Linked DNA regions of Schizosaccharomyces pombe. The main gene of each other region encodes a partner of the protein of the gene in region 2 in a complex. Each region holds a gene or a part of one and is shown on either strand. Other genes may lie near its edges.

Region 1 (3,952 bases), on a different chromosome or scaffold from region 2:
CGATCGAGCTTTTGCTAAACTATGAAGCTCAACAACCCGATGGAAATCCTGCAATCACGATTAGTCTATTAAATTATCAGAAGCTCCTTGAGGCAAGGGGTGGTAACGTGAATCTTTCTCGTTTGAGAAGCACCTAATGTCTGTATTCGTTGTGCATATTTGACTTTTTTGTTTTTGGTTTGTATTTTAGTAGTTTTAATTTTCTTTTTGTTGAGTTTGGATCCCTTACCTAATGAGTAATTTGCTTTTATTCCTTCATTTTAACTTGTTGCTCTATTTTTAATACCCGATTGCAACTGATGAGCTTATTTGATTTTTCTTTGTTTTTATTTTAATTTTTTTAAAAAAACCTTTTCGAAGTTTCTTAAACGCAAAATCGCTATACGAGCTAATGAAATTGAATATTATACATTTTGTAATTCATGTCTCGCAATCAAGTGCTTTTAATATTGATACTATTTATCTTTAAAAATAAAAACCGGCTAAATGTAAGAAATTTTTTTTTTTTATTGAGGCATATTTGTTTTTTTAAGGTCGAGATTAGATTGTAAATAGTTGAACCGTAGGGGTTAGAGCTTCAAAAAATGATAAATTATTACTGTGAAACCCGAATTTAATCCATTTACGCATGATTGATTTTATAAAAATGTACTTCTCTTTTGCTAACTGCTTCGTACTGTAAATAAGCTTACTTTACAGTTAAGCATTACAAAGGTATATGATGTAATGATATAAGAAATAATCAATAACGAACTTTGATGTTATACGTAACATGAAATAACGATTTCTCTTCGAGACCTAGACTAACATGGCGATGTTCATAACTATGGCGAGTAAGCACATTTCTATTTCTACAAATAACTCAAATCCTTTGCTTGAACAATCAAGCGTGTTATAGCTTATTGGAATTTTTTAAGACTTTTTACAGCAAGAATCAGTAAAATCAGAGAAATTCGAATTGGCAAGTCTTCAAGGTTGTGTCCATTCGGAATATTTATTAAAGTATGTCAACAACTAGTTCTTCGTCGACGTTTTCTACGAGAACAGCGTCTTTATCCCAATCATATACAAATTCATTAAAGAAGGAAGCTGCTCAAAAGACGTTAGAAAACTGGGAATATCAGGCTATTCACGCTTTGCAGAACAATTCTTCTTTTCCCGCGATACGTAGATCAATGCGCAAGATTTTAGCAGATCCTTCATAATTTCCTAATCCCATTTTTTGTTTTTTTTATAATCATGATGTGAGCAAGTTCTTGCTACAGGGGACAAAAGAGTTGCGCTTGGCATTCTTACGTTCGATTGTCCATACAATAATGTTTAGCTCGATAGAGGATCCTTCTAATGGTTTATAAACGTACATCAGAAGATTTTTTTAAGACAGTCTTAACATTCCAAATACCAATACTGAGGCACTAAACAGTTGAACGTTTTGTTATTCTTCAAGGACAAGAATTCCTTGACAAGAAATGAGCTAAGTATATTATTTGAAATAGCTAAAATAGTCACTGTTTTATTTCTATTCACGCATTGTTGTCATTGAAATGATGATGCTGAATCAAATAATGTGTTGAGCATAAAACGCACGTTAAATTCAGTATCTATGAAAATAATCTTTTTTGCCTAATGCTTAAGATAATTTTTTTTTTTTTTTTTACAAACTAATAAACAAACAAATAAATAATTATAGCTAATGTTCAGTTATTGTCCGGCTTCTTCCCGGAACTTAGTTAGGATAAGTGGCAGCAACACATACAGAATCCAAGTATCCTTTAACCCCCTTCTCATACAAAAAATAGCAGGCCTATTATCGTTACTATTGTTACCATTTTCCCATAAAAAAAGAAATATAATACTTAAATTTGATTATTTTGAATATTTCTGAGTAACTTTAAAGAACGACTTTTGCATGATAATAAAAACACGTTGTTTTATGACTTTTTGAAACCCTCACAACATAAAAACTTATATAATATGGCTTTACAACAATACAATAAATTTCCTTTCTTTTTTTCTGGTATTTTAGGACCTACGAGGTTGAATGGTTTACAAATGCCGCCTATCCAAACGATGGTTCGTTGGGGACACCAGTATGCACCCAGAAGCATCAGAAACCAAAAAGCTCAGAAAGGAAGAGTCCCTATACCCATAGGAGGTTCACTACGTGGTACTCAACTTGAATGGGGAGAATATGGTATGCGATTAAAAGATCGAAGTATAAGATTTCATGCCAAGCAACTCGAAACTGCCGAACAGATTCTCAAGCGTATATTAAAACCTATCAAGGCTGCTCGGGTATACACACGTTTTTGTTGCAATGTGCCAGTATGCGTAAAAGGAAATGAAACTCGTATGGGCAAAGGCAAAGGAGCTTTTGAATACTGGGCTGCACGGATACCAATCGGTCGTGTACTTTTTGAAATTGGTGGTGATGGAATGCGTAAAGAGTTAGCTGAGCATGCATTGAAGCAAGCCGCTTTTCACCTTCCAGGCAAGTATGAGATTATCGTCAAGCAAACCCCCAAAAGATTGGGTACCACACTGATTCATGAAACCCCCATTACCACCGAGACAAGCAAAATGAACTATCAGGAAATTACCAGTACTACTACAGCTGTTTAAGGGAAAAGTTAAGCTGAATTTATCTATTTTTAACCCATTCAATAATTACTTTTCTGTCATACTTCTCACTTACTTAGTTTGTGAACTTAATGCTGCATCTTTGTACAGACATTCATGAGCTTCTTTTCAATCGTTGTAGTTATTCTATGTTTTAGTGAATGAAATTTGCCAGAAATGCCTTAAAACATTGTACATTTTGCGCTATGTTTCATTATCTATTTTCGAAATGGGAACTTTCATCCCCAATGAGAGAGTTGCTTAATTTTTGTTGGCGAAATATGAACCACTTTTGATTCACTTTGATTACGGCTCGGCAATTTCGTTAAAACATCAAATTTCTTTGGTCCTGAAAAGTTGGTAACGGTAATGAGTGTTTTTGGCGAAAATCTTATTTGCTGCTCTCTGCTCCGTTGGGGACTTTTTTTCGGGATGTAAAAAACGGCACGTTGTATATGTGCGAAATCATGAAGTGAATCAAAAAGTACACTTTAAATAATATGAAACTGATTTTACTATGGAATTACGAATGAAATTATTCAAATCAACTCCACTAAAATATTTACAACGTTTACAAAAAAAATCACTATACCTTCTAGAACCTAGCTTAGCAATCCACTGTTGAGTGGATCAGTAACTTAATCATTACTACCATAGATCTGATTAAATCTCATCAAGATCGATCGGGATCTGTAAATCAATTTTCTACCATAAATTACCGCGGTTGCCTACGAGTTGGTAGTGACTGTTTCTTTCAGTAAATAAATAGGGTAGGGTCGAATTTTTTGAAATTCATACATACGTGCATCCTTGCTCTTAGTTGTCTCCTCTACAGTGATAAAAGATTTAGCTTAAAAAATTCAAAGCTAACAGGTTTCGGGACAATAAGTTGTTGAATTGTATAATTTATATATTTATACTTAATTCATTTTAGAAAATTCGCTTTTCCTTTTCCTTTTTTTGCATTTTAAAGTCATCAACATGTCTGTGTCCGAAGCTAATGGTACTGAGACCATCAAGCCTCCTATGAATGGAAACCCTTATGGTCCCAACCCATCTGATTTTCTTTCACGTGTCAATAACTTTTCCATTATTGAGTCTACTCTTCGTGAAGGTGAGCAATTCGCAAACGCTTTTTTCGACACCGAGAAGAAAATTCAAATTGCTAAGGCATTGGACAACTTTGGTGTCGATTACATTGAATTGACTTCTCCCGTGGCTTCTGAGCAGTCCCGCCAAGATTGCGAAGCTATTTGCAAATTGGGCTTAAAGTGTAAAATTTTAACTCATATTCGCTGTCATATGGATGACGCTCGTGTCGCTGTTGAGACTG
Region 2 (3,712 bases):
AATTTTCAGAGGAATTGGAATATCAAACGAAACCACACCCAACTGTACCGACGTGTCAATTCAAAATACGTTACGCCCGCTACGGAGACAAGAAGGTTAAAAGCGCACATCTTTACTCGAGATATTATCTGTTTCACGGTGATCCTCGAGAAGAAAAGGCTCAGAAGAGCAAATCTAAAAGGTATAACTTGTGAAAACCAAATTAGTCCGGGTGCACTCATACTTTTCAAAAATCATTTCCTCTACTTTTGAGAATCTCCTTTTACTCAATTTTATATTCAAATTACTAACACTTTCGCACAGTAGAAATCAAGATGAAAGGGGTTCGCCATTAGATGAACGACTAGGTCCTAAAGTGTCTGACCTTACACTGATGGAAAGAATATTCCAAGTTCGACGCAAGCCACGCAAATCAAGGAGAGACCGTCGTTCCAGGGTTTCCAAGCGTTAATTGTGTTGTAGAGAAATATTAAATACCCAGTTTATCCGCTTTTAAGTCGCTTTTCGCTGGACGAAGGCAAGAAAAAATTAATATGCTAAATTAGCTACAATTTTATAAATAAAATTTTTTTATTTAGTTGGCCATATTAAAATAAAACCGTTCTTTTCTGCGTTTAATAGAATACTCTTTTGGTACCTGAATGATATCGATAACCCTTTTAAGGTAGATGTAAGCAAACGACAATTTTGAATGGGATAGTCCTTAGCTTTAAGCAACGTTGTGATGAACAAAAATTACCAATACAGATTTAAATTGTAAGAGCTAAACTCTTAAAAAATGCTTAAAATTTTTCGTCGATAAATGACGGTCGACACAAAATAACTATACATAAATGCATCTGGTCCACAAATGGATAGGTAATAGCATCGACTATTAAAATGGAGAAGGGATCATGAAAATTGAAATGCATTACGGTAATGTAAAACATAGAAATGTAAAAGTCATGAAGACAGAGATCATTAATAAAATGATTACCGCTTTTCCTTTCCACGAGGACGATCGCGGACGAGTAATTTATTAACATTTTTACCTCTTCTTGTTTTGTATCCACCTTTAGCCAAAACACCCCAAGGAGATTGAGAAGGTTTATTACCAATGCTTTTACCACCACCACCACCATGTGGATGGTCACATGGATTCATAGCTGTACCTCGAACCGTAGGACGAATGCCAAGCCAACGTGAACGACCGGCTTTACCAAGCTGGCGATGTTGCCAATAAATATTGCTTACAACACCAATGGTAGCAAATGATGTATCCAAAATCTTTCTCTCTTCACCACTTTGTAGACGAACGATAGCATATTTACCATCAAAAGCTATGATACGAGCGCTACTGCCAGCAGAACGACATAGCTTTGCCTTTTGATTTGGATTTACACCAATGGCATGAATGACAGTTCCTATAGGAATTAATCTGAGAGGAAAACAATTTCCTGGCTTCAAATTTTTTGCTGCAAAAGTTCCATCTTCAATTTCAGCAGCTAGGACGGGGTCCATTTCTACTGGCTCGCCATTAGAACCAGTCTTCAAAAGCGATCGAAAGCTCTCAACTGTATCGCCTTCGCGAAGCCCGTCACAAGCCAAAATATAACTTTTGTTGGCTGTTTCGGAATTCAATTTTTCAACAAGGGCAATGTGACCACTTCTACCAGGGTCATACTCAATTCTAATCACTCGATGAACACCCGGTACTTTTCTTTCAAAGTCAACAAGACGAATACGTTGTTTGTGTCCACCACCCTGATGCCTTACAGTAATTCTTCCTGTTTCATTTCTTCCACCTTTTTTTCTTTTTGCAACGGTCAAAGGTCGAAAAGGTTTCCCTTTCCAAAGGTAATCACTAACTGGTCTTTTTAAATGACGAAGACCAGGAGATATAGGTTTGTAAGTTTTAATCTTGATAAGAATTAGTAAAAAATGAATTAAGGCTTGATAAATAAAAAGTAACCCTCGTGTTAATATTACATACCTCGAACTTCGTTTTTGGTCGTAGAAGCATCCCTACATCGTAGGGTCTCTCGGAAGATTCAATTTTTTCACCGCTTGTAGATGCGGTAGAGGCATATCTGAACAGCTTTAACGCATGAATTTGAGGAATCAAATACCCCCGAAATCGATTATAACTCAACATGGGGATTTCCAACTAAACCTATGGTAAGAACTCACAATATGATGGACTGCGAATTAACGAGTTCAATCATAATTTGCGACGCTCAGTGCTAAAATCTTTACACAATCCAAGGTGTCGTTAACTGTGTAAATAAATGAACATTGATCTAGGGAATACAACATAGAGGAAATTGAACACATTAGCTATAATAATGAAGAACTTTGTTTTATTGTTTGATCATCTGTGTAGTAAATATTTTATACATTGTAAACCCGATTCTATACGTTTGAAAGTAATGGCAGGTCAACTGAGAATTTCAACCACGTTATAATATATTGGAAATTTTGATAAATTGAATTTGCTTTTCCTTCGAGTTGAGCAAAGTTAAACTAGAATTTACGACACCTGTAATAAGCCTGCTGAGCATGAAGAGTTTAAGGGATTCAAGGTATCAGGAAAACATTGCTTTCTCACAAAACTCTTCTCACATTCCTTTTTGGATGTGTGCTTAATTAATTACTAAATAAGTTCACATACCAAAAAAATCTTATTTAATATACAGTTTCAACGAAAAGTTTCAACTATGGAAATTTGTTTTGTTAACTCGTTCATTTTCGTTTCAAAACAATTCGAAGATGGGGTTGATCTGCGTTTGTTTAATATAGCTTATTAGTTTGCTTATGAAAGGTTTCGATACTATACTCTGTGTACACTGACAAAGGTCAATCAACATGAAAAGCCTTGAGATGCCATTTTCCAAAAAAAAAAGTGAAAAACACTATTTGATTGACTAGGATCTTCCAAATTCTTACAGATATTAGGTATTTTGACAACATCAAAATTGTCAAGTTTGCAATTCAAAAATGTTGCAAGTAAAATAACTGGTGTCAGGAAAAAAGGACTAATATTTATTGACTTCATATTAATTAGTCAATTGTAGAACAAGATATGTGGTACCCATGACCTCTTTGTTTATTGAGTACTTCTATAATGACTTACTTCAACTTTGCCTTCACCAACGCCAACGCGAAAACAGCCAACTTCAAGTAGGCAAAAGGAACAGACCGATTTGAAAGCATGATTGAGCATCTTAAAGGATGATTCAAAATGGTGGAAATAGCTATGTGGATTCCAATATGAATGAAACGCAAAATGATACAACTGACAACTTTGATGCTGAAATGCAAGATCTAAACGGGTATATAAGCGAAATTGTCGATGAGGCTAGGAATGTATCTGAAGTTGATGCAAAATTTTTGGGAGATACCTCTGCCCTTCAAGCTGAGGGCCTTTGGTCAGACGAAGAGTCAGATTATGAAGGCAGTGACGATGAATCAAACTTTAGTAAAACAGCCTCAAGAACCGAGGACGACATTGCGAACGAGGAATGGGAAGAAAATTTAAAGGCAGTTGCTGGATTTAGAAAAGTCCGTAAAGGTCATAAAGGTCGAGGACGTGTTAGTCGAGCTGATATGCTTCCCTCGGTGGAAGTGCAACAAATGTTGAGTTTAGCGAATCATTTGTTTGCGCAAGAAGGAAACTTCGACGAAGCCCAAAAATTAGCTGAAGAGATTGTTCGTATTGATAATAATGTCATTG
Region 3 (2,801 bases), on a different chromosome or scaffold from region 2:
AGCAGAAATTCCGATAGTTATGAAAAGGAAAATCAGCCATCCCACAATTATTGATAACACTGGGAATCGGAGACTGTTAATGGTACAAAAATAAAATTCAACGTAATCAAAGAACCCACTAGCCTCTCCCTTACAGTAAGCCTTTGCAAACCGACATTGATTAGCAGGGGTAATGTTTTTGATATCATTGCATGTAAGTAAAATTTGGTCGTTGCTATCATTTAAGGTATTTCCGCGCTCAAAAAGATGGACGGTTGAGTCCGAAGTCGAGGATACTGAAGCAAACGCTTTGCTAATCCGATGAGTCCAGAATAAAATGTAGGCAATGCCAAGGATACACCAAAGTAATATTAGTCTGTATTTCTTCAAGAAACATGAAGTTTTCGACATTTTTATACCTGATATCCAAGATATAGAAAATCCATGCTTAAACCGCATTGCTAGGTATTAGCAGCCCTTTTTTTTCTAAGATAGATGGGATGAAAAAGACTAATCCTATAATAAATATATAAATGCGCAGTACTCAAGATTGCCCCCAATTTTGGCAGAAAAAGTAAGAATGTAACTAGTATATTTAATAGAAGCAAACGTCACAACAGAATATCGATAAATATACGTGTCCGTAAACAATAAATAACAACAGTCAACGCAACATAAGGTATCGTAACGTAGAAATTTCTCCTTTCAAAGTGTATGCCCAATCATTAACAGATAGAATAAAGCAACAGTTGAAAAGGGTACCAAAATTTTTCAAAACAATAAAGAATGAGGCTGATAAACATACTAGCTATGAGCAAGATCAAAATACACAGCTCCATCCAACCCATTTGCACCTTCAGGATAAGTTCCTTTAGTGGCTTGAATTCGACGAGAAACAAAAGGCAAAAGCTTTGAAAGTTAATATAAAACAATATTCATTAATTTACAACATACCTCACAATCACCAGAAGGAGGCACAAACGTGCGAACACGCGACCACTGGACAAGAAAACCTCCATGCCTGGTTTTTTGACCCATTTTCCCAGTTCTTGTACCCTTGTAATACTGATGACCCAACTTTGTGGTCATTGGCAAGCGTCTTGCTCCAAAACATAATAATGATTGATGCATTTTGAATAACTCTCGATTTGGGTAAATGGAGGGTTTAAGTTGGCGCGTTTTCCGTCATAAAAGAAAAGGTAACGGTATAAGGTAACAGTCAAAGCGAAACATAGAATGTAAACAATAAAAATATTTGTTTAAAACGAACAAACGAATTACATTATGAAACTAAAAAATGAAATAAGTACGAAAAACTATTTTTTTTTCAACATTTAAATGAGCTTTCTTGTTGTTTATCTTTCTGCACAGTTCAATGAAAACAAGTACGGTTAATCTACAATTAAACGCCTCAAAATATGCCTTTAAAAATTTTAGTTATTAAAATCAGTTATTAAAAAATACTGTTACATCTCCCATTTCATTACTCGTTTGAGCCGATTTCCAACAGATAAATATATATTAAGTGTCCGTTCACGTTCGCGTTATTTATAACGAAATACGATGAGTTGTGGAATAAAGTGTTAAAGCTTTTGTTAAATGGCATTACGATTTATAGTGATGCTTAATGTACAGAACGTGGACAAAACCCTCGTAAGCATCAACATCTTACTTCTTCTTCAGCTAGTCGGCTGAAAACGTTGGCATAATGAATCAGCCAGAACGGTATGAGCTCATTGAGCTTATGGGACTCCCCAAGTAAGGAATAAACAATTTTACAAGGAATTGCATTAACCAGTGTAGAGTCACATATGAGCTCGATAGCAAATCACCTAATGCCGCAGTAGTTACTCTTGAAAAAGAGGATCATACATTGGCTAATATGCTTGCAAAGTAAGACTTCTAAATTTTTTTTTCTTTTCTAACTGCTTTTTCGAAGTCAACTCCTATCTGACGAAAGGGTTCTTTTTGCTGGTTACAAAGTTCCTCATCCATTAAATCACAATTTCATACTTCGTGTACAAACCGTAGAAGATTGTTCTCCAAAGCAGGTTATTGTTGATGCTGCTAAGTCCCTTATTACTCATCTGGAAGAAATCAAAGTTAATTTTATGCGTGAATGGGAGTTGAAAATGATATCTGTTGAAGGCGTTGAAATGGAGTTTTCCTAAAATCCACGGCTGCTTTTTCTCTAATATTTATTAGAGTTTTGTTTCAAAAAATACAGAATACCCTCTGTATGCATCTTTATTACAAAAATTTTGACTTTCGTTTTCGCAACTTCTGTAATTTGGACCGAAGTCGTATTAAAAGGGAAAATAAAAGTTTCTTTCTTTTTTGAAAACAGATGCTTTAAAAAAGGTGAAAGTTCTCCGATCTTTTATTGTATATGCTTCTTCATAAACCAACTAGAAAACTGCAGCAATGGCGATGAAAGTTTTTCTAGGTACCTGGATTATTCTCTGATATTGCTTTTTTTTTCAAAGTTGAATTTTGCTGAATGTAATCGAAGTGATTAATTTCCTACAGTAGGGCAGAGCATCGATTCTTACATTCAATCTTAAAAGAAATAAATTAATTAATGTTGTACTATTACAATTTATGTCATTGAATTATTCACAATCATCATTTTCTCTCCAAATGCTTTGCTTCAATTGCATTACGAAATTTGTTTATTCCTGTATTAGTTATTATTATAGAATACTTTTTGGATATGTAAGTAATTATATTTTCTTAAAATATACGATAAATATTCTTGCATAAATTAATGATACCCTATGCTTTGCACATATGCTCCATCTGCGTATCAGTTTTATAACGTC
Region 4 (3,166 bases), on a different chromosome or scaffold from region 2:
TGCATACTTAGACTTATCTTGGATAGTGAGTTTGGCCCCTTTACCCTATATGCCAAAAGATGACCCAGGGGGTTAATATTAAGGCCTAAAAGGTAGGAGGAAGCAAGAAATGGTAAAATGGCACGTGCCAAGCCAAACAAGAAGAGATGATAGACACGCAGCTAAAGAACATAGCAAGCTTAAAGAACAAATAACAAAGCATTTTGGTTGGGAAATTGATCAGTTGAAGAAAGTTATTAAAGTTAATGATTATTATAGATTTACTAGTAAATACATAAAAACCAAGGAAAAGATAAGAAAATAAAATAAAATATAAATAATAATTAACGATAATTATATGTATATATAAGAGGATAATAATTTTATATATACACAGCAAATCCATCCTATATTTAACATAGTATTCCTCTATTAAGTGCGAATATTCTTTTACTTAATTCAGCCTTTGCTTATTTAATGCGAGTTGTCTCAGCCCTTAGTACAATGTCAAATCCTCTTTAAAAGATAGTTATTAAACCTTTTGTTATTCTAATGACAACTGTAACATATCCTTGACTTGTTTACTATCCCTGCTGTAATTTCCAACTCAATTTTTATTCTACATATATAAAGCATCAGTTAAAGATATTTTCGTTGCTTCTCTCCATCATTTTCACAACCAGGAAAAATGTTTATTTTAAAATTTCCCATACTATTGACCATGTAGAACCGTAATAACAATCGTAAACATTGCACTTAATGAGCTTTAAATACTCTCTCAATTCTTTCATTCAGTCTCCATATCCGAGGGATGTAGCCTTCTCCAGTCTATTCTATATCCGTCTTTGGGTGCGGCTATACTTGCGTTGTATAGATTTTCTCCGTATGCATCGTGATATGTCTCAATTTCGCGGATGAGATACGGACTTGGGATTTCGGGCAGATCGTCATACAATGTCACTAGCTTCCGCAATTCATGCGATTTGTTCATTTGCATTCTTTATTTGGCTAACCCTTGTAAAATTGGGAAAACACATTTTATATTCTCTTTGGACCCATAAACACTTAAAGTGACTTGTAACTCATCCATCCTAGTCTTGGTACAGCAAATGAATTAGGTTTGCTTACAACTTGAGGATCGTCTTATACTTTCAGTATTGCCAATAATTTACAGTTACAATGATACTTAAAGCTTGCGTTTGTTTAGAGCCGAATATATATATATATATACACGAAAGGCTTTTTAGAACCACCTCGTCATAAATGTTTCTTTACTAGGCTCGCTAATTTCCATCTGTGTTTTTTTTTCACGCTAGCAAACTATGCTATTGCAATTAGTTCATTCTTAACGTCCTAATTCATCTAGTACATGTCATTTTAACTAAAAGAATTTTTCCTGAAAGAAAATTGGTTCTTTCATTTGAATATCATTCTTTCCAAAAAAAATGTAGAAATACAAATAAGATTATAAATTGGCAAAGACGCGATTGGACTTTAATTAAATACCCATCTACAGCCAATAATTAAAAAACAATAATAATTGTAATAAAAAAAAAGAATTTTTCAAGAGTTGTTCATCACTTCATATTTTTTCTTCGAATGTTAATAGAACAGCAACTTCTATTTATAAGATTACTTATAGTTTGTTAATTATTCCTCTCTGTTAAATTGGCAGACATCAGGAGAAGAGACGCAGCAGACTCAATTTGTTATACTTTCCTTATTAACATTTTTTTATTTTTTATTTTATTTTATTTTTATTCAAAAATTCTTTCTAATTTTTTTATTCTTACTGTTCGTCTTTCGTTCTTAAGTGCCGTCATGCATGTTTCTCAATTAGAATTTCAAATCTAAATGCTTTTTTTCAAAACAAGTAATTCATTGATGAGCCTTTTATCTTTACTAATAGTTCTATAGTCTACCTAAAACAAAAAAATAACCTATTGAAAAGCCTCGATTGTACACAACCAAATTTAATAAAAATTGGATTGCAAAAAGGCTTTCTCATTACTCAAAACAATATCTTTGAATTGCAAACTTTCAATTTTACATTTCTGACTGCAAGTTATCCATCAAGTTAAAAGAGCTCGCCCACAAACCCTGGTGTAACTACAAAACCTTTAACTTACCGCTTGCACTGTACGTATATCCAGAATGGCTAAAAAGAATAAAGCTCGGTAAGACATACATGCTTAATTTAATGCGCATTTTTAACATTTATTTTTCAGTTTGCTTGTAAAATTATTGTCCACCGCTGGCACTGGATTTTTCTACGTTCGTTCACGTCCAAAAGCTGCTCCTAAGCTTGCTTTTATAAAATATGATCCCAAGTAAGTTATTATGGATTTTCTAAAGCCTCATTTAAGAAGCTAATGAATGAACCCATAGAATTCACAAAAGAGTACTTTTCGAAGAATCCAAAATGAAATAAAAACTTCTTCCATTTCAATGATAGTCTGAAAATGAAATGCTAAATTATGACCGATCAATCTACCTTTTTTCTTCAAAAACTTTATGGATGTGCATTAATTATGTATTAGCTTCCCAACCTACATCTTATACGACATAATTCTAAACAGCTGCGTGAACATAAAGACCCTTATATTATTCTGTCATATCTATAATTCCTATTTTTATTATTATTATTTAAGAGAAGGACTGAGATGTCAAATTTTCAAAGTAATAAGAATGTTCCTTTCACCTGTACCAATTGCTAGCCGAATTAGAACTATAGTAGTAACATCGTTTGTGTTTACTACTCTTGTAAGCACTGTAGCTCAGATCATTCGATTCTAAAATTCTCAAGCAATATTTTTAATACAAAATGGTTGTACTATTTAGAAATTATGCAAAACATGGCAAAGCATTGAATTGCTAAAACCAATCGTCGTTTAATGTCTTCGTAACATTTAATTATTTGTTTTCTATTAGCTTATACGATGCAATTATTTTTATTCCCTCGTTCCAATTCTTAGTGTAAATTTTTGTCTACCTACATTTTCTATGTGGAGCAAACTACTACACTTTTCAACGCTTTGATCACGATGCCAAAGAAAGCTGCATTGGACGAGCTTAAATGGAAGGAAGTCAAGCTTCCTGACCACCTAGACGACTTCGATGGGTTTATGGGCTTGGAAGAGATTGAAGGTGTGGATATCAAATATCAGCCAAAAGGTGCTATGAAAGA

Evidence for each region.
Region 1: rml2 (region 2) and mrpl16 share a complex: the UniProt entries of both Schizosaccharomyces pombe proteins name them as parts of the mitochondrial large ribosomal subunit.
Region 3: rml2 (region 2) and mrpl27 share a complex: the UniProt entries of both Schizosaccharomyces pombe proteins name them as parts of the mitochondrial large ribosomal subunit.
Region 4: rml2 (region 2) and mrpl39 share a complex: the UniProt entries of both Schizosaccharomyces pombe proteins name them as parts of the mitochondrial large ribosomal subunit.

The regions. Positions count from the first base shown.
Region 1 is NC_003423.3:3,506,956-3,510,907, reverse strand, and holds mrpl16 (mitochondrial 54S ribosomal protein uL16m), read left to right. Parts: upstream 1-1,774; 5' UTR 1,775-1,974; coding exon 1,975-2,622; 3' UTR 2,623-3,385; downstream 3,386-3,952. Other genes in the region: ARS-binding protein Cbp1, read left to right, coding at 1-137; protein tam12, read left to right, coding at 1,005-1,205; lys4 (homocitrate synthase), read left to right, coding at 3,601-3,952. UniProt on the Schizosaccharomyces pombe protein: Component of the mitochondrial ribosome (mitoribosome), a dedicated translation machinery responsible for the synthesis of mitochondrial genome-encoded proteins, including at least some of the essential transmembrane subunits of the mitochondrial respiratory chain.
Region 2 is NC_003421.2:694,344-698,055, reverse strand, and holds rml2 (mitochondrial 54S ribosomal protein uL2m), read right to left. Parts: upstream 2,145-3,712; 5' UTR 2,135-2,144; coding exon 1,973-2,134; exon of another isoform or gene 1,949-1,972; intron 1,900-1,948; coding exon 973-1,899; 3' UTR 574-972; downstream 1-573. Other genes in the region: RNA cap binding protein cbc3, read left to right, coding at 1-181, 304-451; transcription factor TFIIIC subunit Sfc4, read left to right, coding at 3,211-3,712. UniProt on the Schizosaccharomyces pombe protein: Component of the mitochondrial ribosome (mitoribosome), a dedicated translation machinery responsible for the synthesis of mitochondrial genome-encoded proteins, including at least some of the essential transmembrane subunits of the mitochondrial respiratory chain.
Region 3 is NC_003424.3:1,432,266-1,435,066, forward strand, and holds mrpl27 (mitochondrial ribosomal protein subunit L27), read right to left. Parts: upstream 1,134-2,801; 5' UTR 1,111-1,133; coding exon 934-1,110; exon of another isoform or gene 889-933; coding exon 784-888; 3' UTR 508-783; downstream 1-507. Other genes in the region: SPOM_SPAC3A12.06C (sodium/calcium exchanger), read right to left, coding at 1-390; DNA-directed RNA polymerase II complex subunit Rpb11, read left to right, coding at 1,688-1,737, 1,783-1,872, 1,919-2,150. UniProt on the Schizosaccharomyces pombe protein: Component of the mitochondrial ribosome (mitoribosome), a dedicated translation machinery responsible for the synthesis of mitochondrial genome-encoded proteins, including at least some of the essential transmembrane subunits of the mitochondrial respiratory chain.
Region 4 is NC_003423.3:2,700,217-2,703,382, reverse strand, and holds mrpl39 (mitochondrial ribosomal protein subunit bL33m), read left to right. Parts: upstream 1-1,631; 5' UTR 1,632-2,133; coding exon 2,134-2,156; exon of another isoform or gene 2,157-2,207; coding exon 2,208-2,309; exon of another isoform or gene 2,310-2,340; intron 2,341-2,367; coding exon 2,368-2,410; 3' UTR 2,411-2,648; downstream 2,649-3,166. Other genes in the region: ATP-dependent RNA helicase Mak5, read left to right, coding at 3,024-3,166. UniProt on the Schizosaccharomyces pombe protein: Component of the mitochondrial ribosome (mitoribosome), a dedicated translation machinery responsible for the synthesis of mitochondrial genome-encoded proteins, including at least some of the essential transmembrane subunits of the mitochondrial respiratory chain.